2 linked regions of the Nothobranchius furzeri genome follow. The protein of the gene in region 1 purifies or fractionates together with the protein of each later gene. This does not show direct contact. Links are inferred from orthologs where the notes say so. Each region holds a gene or a part of one and is shown in the gene's direction. Other genes may lie near its edges.

Region 1 (4,261 bases):
CATTGCTCCTCCTGAATCTGAGATTCAACTATCGATCGGACCCTCCTCTCTAGTACCTTGGAGTAGACCTTTCCAGGGAGGCTGAGGAGTGTGAACCCCCTGGCGCCTGACAGTTTGCCAGAACCACTTTGGAGCCGATCGATAGTCTTTGTCCATGGCCTCACCAAACTCCTCCCACGCCCGAGATTTTGCCTCGGCAACTGCCACTGCTGCACCCCGCTTGGCTTGGAGACCCACAGACCAACCACGTTCTGTAGGTCTCCTTCTTCAGCCTGACAGCTCCCCGAACCTCTGGTTCAAAGCTTTCAGCAGCTTTCGGGACACCTCTGTGTTCCACCCGGTTTTACCCAGCGGTCAGATCAGCGTATCTCTGACTCAGAAGCTCTGGTGTTGTGCACAGTTAACTCCGGTTGTAGCTAGGTTGCTACCTCTGTTAGCTTAGCACCCACCTCCACGTTAGCTTTGGGTTAGTTTCAGGTTAGCTTGTAGCTAGTTCGACCGAGTGTCGTTAGTTGAGCCCAGCCTTACAGCCACACCCTCAGCTCCACCTCTCTTCCCTTTTGTGGAATTGTCTGGGCTTGACGGAACCCGTAACACGGTCAAAATGGCGGTGGTGGCAACCTCCCATTTAGCCTCAAAAACGTGTTATTGGAGTCTATGGAAATGAATTGTCCAGTATATATGTCGATGGCCCCAACCCCAGGCCTGGCTCCAGGGTGGGACCCCGGTAACCCTCCGGGCCGGGTACTCCGACTCCTTGATGGTTCATCCATGAAAGATCCTTTGAACCGTTCTTCGTCTCACCCTTCACCTAAGACCAATTTGTCATGGGAGACCCTACGAGGGGTACAAAGTGCCCCAGACAACATAGCTCCTAGGATCATTAGGGCACAAACTCCTCCACCACGATAAGGTGACGGTTCAAGGAGCTTGCAAAAAATCCTTATTGGTGCAATCTACACATCCAAACAGTTAATCAACTTTTAAGTTAGTAATAATTACAAGATGATCGACACAAAAATGTGGATTATTTTAAGTCATCCTTGTAGAGCTTTGGCATCCAATAAACCAAAAATATTAACATTTTCTTGAGCTATATTTACTAAGGTCTTTTAAGATGCTTCAAACCTAATCTTTTGACAGTGGCTACTTCTTCACACATACGAAGGCATAAATTGTACAATAGTTTAAGTTCATATTTAGTTACTATGTGATTTCTAGTGTGTCATTTGTAGTAGATCAACCTAGGAACCAACAGCAGCACATTGGGTTGTCTTCAGGGATCTTTTATGTGGTGCTTCAGCAGTACTTCCGGCCCACATGTAAAACAGTACAGCGTGATTTATCTGCAAATAATACATTATTATTCTGAGTGTTTCTAATATAATCTTGATTAAACACATCTGCGATCATGAAGCTGCTCACACACAACATGCTGACGTCTCACGTAAAGGGAGTCACGAAAGGATACCCGCTGCTCATAAAGGTAAACGGTGAACATCTGAGTAGCATAGCGGCTAATGCTAACACGAGTTTCACCGTGATACCCAGGCCTGTCTTCTTCTAAAAACAATGAAATACATTTGTAGATATCTCTTCTTCGTGTAAACAAACATTACTGAGTTAAAATGTTTTCTGTTAAAACATCCAGGAGGTAAATTTGTGTCATGACTGCATAAGCTTGCACGTAAATCCTAGAAAGTACGTGAAGACATACTTTACATGAAATTAAAGCAAATTAAGGGTTTTGTTTACTTTCAATTGCCGGTTGAGTTGATGTCAGTGGTTGCCTGATGTGACAGCAGAGTCCACCTGACAGCCTGTGTTTTCTCCTAATGCTGTTTGTTCAGGCCACCGAGGTGAAGGTGAACGATGTAGACTTCAACCCTCAGTTTGTCTGCAGGATGATCCCCAAACTGGAGTGGAGTGCTCTGGTCGAGGCTGCAGATCTGGTGAGTAAACAGGTTTCTCCTTAAGCTAACCCACGGAGAGCCTCCACCTGCAGCTGTATGCATGCAGACATTTAATACTACACAGATTTATCATACATTTGGTTTTCTTCCTCTTCATAGTTGGGTCATCGACAAGATCTACCGAGTGAGCTGGTGCCAGACTACGAGAAAAATGAGGACTTCCTGAAGAAAGTGCACAGAGCTCTGTTGGAGGTAAAGGTCTCACTGACCTCCTCGTTCCTGTCACCCACATTTAAAAACATTTCAGTTGCAGAACCTGTTTTTCTCTTTAGTATTGACAAAGCGATACAGCCATAAAGTACTCTTAAACAAACTGTTGGAGTCTGGTTGTGTGTATTCAGTCACACTTAATTTTGGACTCAATGGTGCTTTTGTGTTACTGGCTGCAGAAATCTCAGCAGAGCTCCATTTTTATCCTCTAATGAATTCCATGACTTCAGCGCATCCGTTTGGCTCAGGATGGCGTTATGTGGAGGTCTACCGTTGGGACTGAAGAAGTTTTATACTTTTCTAGCTCACTTTAAACTATATCCTCTGCAAAACATTACACAGACACACTTTTACTCTAATTATGATCTTGGTGCGTTATAACTGGAGGGATTTTCTTAGAGGTTTTGGCTGCAGAAGTTTTCTCTTGTACTGCAAAGTTGTAAACACTTTGTTTTCCACAATGTGGTTCCATTGTTTCACAGATGACTTCCTGTGTGACCAACAGGATGATGGCATGTAAAACCACATTAACATGACCAACAGGATGATGGCATGTAAAACCACATTAACACAGATTAGTGCAACACAAAAATTAGCCTTAAAGGGGACTTATATTTTTCTTAAGTTATAATAGTTCAATAGTTGATACAAAGCATGTTTATGAAGTTCATTTCACTACATTCCTCTAACATAAAGCAATTTCAGCAGTTTTAATTTTGGCAGTTTCAGTACCTTCCAGAATGAGCCGTTTCAGGGTCAGAGTCTTTTTAAGGTGCTGGCGATACCCACCCATCTCCTGCTCCTGCTGCTATAAGCTGAAAAGCTTCAATTCCTGGTAGAGGCTTGGAGGAAAGCCGCTTTGATCTCCAAATCTGTAAATGTGTCCTAAATTAAACATTTTTCCGCTGCCATGGCTTCCCCATTTCTAAAATGCTCTTGGTTCAAAGTTTGCTTAAAGTTGTCACATATTTCCATCAAGTGTTTCTTCATAAATCACAAAGTTTTTGTGGAAACACGCAGTTTTCAGACCCCCGCTTTGTCCGTAGGCAAACTTTATTAATGAGGCCCCTGGTCTTTTTCAGGGATCAGAATGACCCAAACCAACCAACATCCCTCAAACGTGCACCGAAAAGCAATACATATTAGTATCTAGATTAAACTCTATAGCAGCTGTCCCCAACTCCCTTACCCGAGGGTCGGCGTCCAGCACGTTTTACTGTTTCCCTGCTTCAACACACCTGGTTTTAATCAGCAGGTGATTAACGGGTTTCTGCAGAGCCTGATGAGCTGCTGAATTGGTGAATCAAATGTTCTGGATTAGGGAAACAACTAAAACATGCTGGATACCGGCCCTCGGGAAAGGGAGTTGGGGATCACTGCTCGACAGGAAAAACTTTCTAAATGTGTAACCTGCTGGAGACTTTTACATCCCTGCTTGTAGTCTTTTAATGTGGTTGCATTATGTTAGGAAAGAAGCTGTAAACCCACCCACTGGGATCTGAGGTGGCTAAACTTTTGTTTTAGTCTCTTTTATGGTTTCAGCTCAGCCGGAACTAGCACTATAACCCTAACATACGAGGACAATTCTAATCATATTGTGGGTGTTCGTTTTTTCATGTTGTGTGTCTTTCCGTCTGTTGCAGGTGGAGGTGATTGAGGGGTGTCTGCAGTGTCCTGAATCGGGGCGAGAGTTCCCCATCTCCAGAGGAATCCCCAACATGCTGCTGAATGAAGACGAGGTCTAGCCTGCATCATCAGCTCCTGCTCACTAACTCTTCTCAGCGAGGGGATGGACTCTGATTTGTTTTCAGGAAAAATGGGCTACAATTTTCACATGATTATTACATTTTAAGTGGCTCGCGTTGTCAGTGGATGGAAAGGATTTGAAGAATGACGGGTTCCTTGAGAGTAACCCCCTCATGGTTTTATTTGTATTTATTTTTGTTGGTTTTTTTCTCAATAAAAGGTTCAGAGTTTTCTAACAGCCAAAATAATCTGGTTTTAGTGGAAAATATGGATTGACTTCTATTAAAGACGTGCTGAAATCCCAGAGAGACATGCTCTGAACCTCATCTCGC
Region 2 (2,822 bases), on another chromosome or scaffold:
ACAGTCAGAGAACAACCTCACCCTCTCCAGCATCTCCCCCGTCACTTCCCTGTTGTCGTGCCGACGCAGCCCTTTTGGAGGAGGAGTATGTGCACCGGGTGTACGACGCCATAGCCTCCCACTTCAGCAGCACCCGCCACTCTCCCTGGCCTCACGTTTGCCAATTCCTGAATTTGCTGGCACCCGGGAGTGTGCTGGCCGACGTGGGCTGTGGAAACGGGAAGTACCTGGGCGTGAACCCTGAGCTGGTCGCAGTGAGTGTCTGAGATACCCCAGTGACCGGTAGTTTCACCAGAATGTTCATTTAAATGTTGGGATTTGTTTTTTCTGAGCAAACGAGTGGAAGGAAAAGATGTATCCAGAGCTGCAGCTTAGCTCGTCATAAATAAAATATTAGTTGGGGCGCTCCAGAGTCGTGTAATGCTTGCATCATTTCACACTTGTGCATGGTTGTGTTCCACGTGAGTCAGACGGTAGCTGCTCTGGAGCCACAGAACAAAAACAAAACGGATCAGTTTGTCAGTAGCGAGTGAGACCGATGTTCTCCTGCTGTATGTCATTGTTTGCATTAGCTTTGTTTCCATGGTAATATCCTAATTTTCTGATTACGTATGCACACGGTGATGTTCACGTTTGGGATTTTGGAGAAGCGTGTAAGCAGCTTATCCTGACTCAGACCGTCCCTGTTATAAATCATCCCCCCCCTCCAGTCTCCTCTTCACCTTTGTTCCTATTTTTCTGCTCTTTAATCCTCTTCATGCTCTGGATCCCGTCCCCACACCTCCTCTGCAATTTAATTCTCTTAACACTTCCAGGTTTAATTAAAATTTAAATGTGTGTTGAAAATAACTTCAGGAAGACATCCTATAAAGCTTAACTCGTATTTATTCTTCCTCTCCAACCATCCATGTTTTAGCCAGACACATTTTGATGCTCAGCATCCATCTGCTGACCGTGTGTTTGTGTGATCTCAGGTGGGATGTGATCGCAGCGGCGCTCTTGTCCAGATCTGTGCAGACAGGGGCTTCCATGCATTTGTATCGGATGCTCTCAGCGTCCCCCTCCGAACAGCCTCCTGTGACGCTTGCATCTCTATAGCAGTCATACACCATTTCTCCACCCAGGTATGCACAATACATAAAACATCTCATGAGCCTCTGGATGGATTTTAAATGAAGTCTAAAAAAGTATTTATTAAAGGTGTGGTTGACTGGAAAACCTTTTTTAAATGATAAGTTTTAAAAATATAATCAGTTACTCTAATGCAGACTGACCATTAAAATAGTCTCCTACACCTATCTCTTGCATTACCTTCTGATAAGAAAATAGACGGTGAAACTCTGGCGTTTGAAAAACCTGACAGATCTACGTCACACCGTCGCTCAACATTCATGTACTTAACCATATTGACTCATGATGGCAACGCTGTTGTTGTTTTAGCATCCAAAATCAGCAGAGAACATTTCTTTCAAAAGAAGCTAACTGCTAGCATTATCAACTCAAACACACAGCTGAAGCTCCTCCAGGCTTGTTATTTGTGGAGATAAAACATCCATGTCCCAGAGCAACCAGAGTTAGTGGTAGAGTCGCCTTGCTTTTATCCAATCCGAGGCAAGATGTCTAAATATCAGGAAATAAGACTTCAAAATCCTCCAATCAAAATCCTCCAATCAAAATCCTCTCGTTTGAAGTACAGCTCTGATGTTGCACACTGGTCCTGCTGGACCAGGGCTTTGTGGGCTTATGTGTGCCCTGAGCTTTACCTGCAAGGCATTCATTCCTGCTAGAGACCATTGCAGATGTATGTGTAAAACTAGTAATCCACACCTTTAACCGATATCATCAATAAGAGGATTTAAACTTCGTTAGTCTGTTTGTGAACGCTGTCAAAAGGCTAAAAACAATAAAGTCGTATTATGATTTCACTTGCAAAATGGAACAAATAACTTTTGTTGTTTAAATAGTTTAATAAGTCAGAATTGTGTCCCGTTTCTGCCTTCTGCAGCTTTCTAGAGCAGTGGTTCCCAAACTTGTTTAGCCGCGCACCCCCTTCTATGTCCCGACCATGTCGACGCACCCCCCCACATCGGGGCATGGCTCTATATATATATATATATATATATATATATATATATATATATATATATATATATATATATGTATATAATCAGATGTCAAGCTAAACAGACAGCATTAAAAAAATTCCCCATCACTTTCATTTTTTAAATAGTAAATAATAAACATTTGACACCATTACAATTTCCTTTGATTTCATTTTAAATAAATATCTAGAGTGCCCAGGTAGCACATAAACAATGCAATTTAACGGTTTTCTTAAAGTAGGAATGTTTAACCTGTGCGGCCAGAGCGCTCTCCTTCCTTCTGCTCTGCATAAACCTGAGCTGATCACCTACTTGTGCGTAATCAAATGTCAATAGGGGACAAGATATAGCCGTGATGTTCACTTTTACCTCAGACCGACTTATTGCTGTTTTATGGTGTGGCTGAATCTGCGATCCGCTGCCACGCAGACTGGAATCACAAATGCTGCAGTAACAGGACTTCTGGTCAGGTTCTTGAGGAGTCACTGGCTGTAGCGGATCCGACTCATCCCAGAAGCTAATATCTTTATTTGACCTTGAATGAAAAATAACCTCTTAAAAGTTTTTATCGTGGTGGAGGCAGCGTTCATTTCTGCCTTCAGTCTGACTGCGCGCCAGAGTTAAAGCAGCGTGCGTGCTTATTGAATCTGTGTGTGTGCGTGCGCGGCACAGCCGCTCAAGTCACCGCGTCTCGTTATTGGCGCTATTTAAACTTCTGCC

The links.
Region 2: the proteins of trmt112 (region 1) and alkbh8 purify together in Homo sapiens (co-immunoprecipitation; 3 studies listed by IntAct, with this or other methods). This does not show direct contact. The link is inferred for Nothobranchius furzeri from reciprocal best matches to the Homo sapiens genes TRMT112 and ALKBH8.

Annotation. Positions count from the first base shown.
Region 1 is NC_091741.1:88,069,762-88,074,022, reverse strand, and holds trmt112 (multifunctional methyltransferase subunit TRM112-like protein), read left to right. Parts: upstream 1-1,283; 5' UTR 1,284-1,411; coding exon 1,412-1,486; intron 1,487-1,850; coding exon 1,851-1,952; intron 1,953-2,072; coding exon 2,073-2,165; intron 2,166-3,826; coding exon 3,827-3,928; 3' UTR 3,929-4,174; downstream 4,175-4,261. UniProt on the Homo sapiens protein: Acts as an activator of both rRNA/tRNA and protein methyltransferases. Together with methyltransferase BUD23, methylates the N(7) position of a guanine in 18S rRNA.
Region 2 is NC_091753.1:35,511,369-35,514,190, reverse strand, and holds part of alkbh8 (tRNA (carboxymethyluridine(34)-5-O)-methyltransferase alkbh8), read left to right. Parts: coding exon 1-254; intron 255-974; coding exon 975-1,124; intron 1,125-2,822.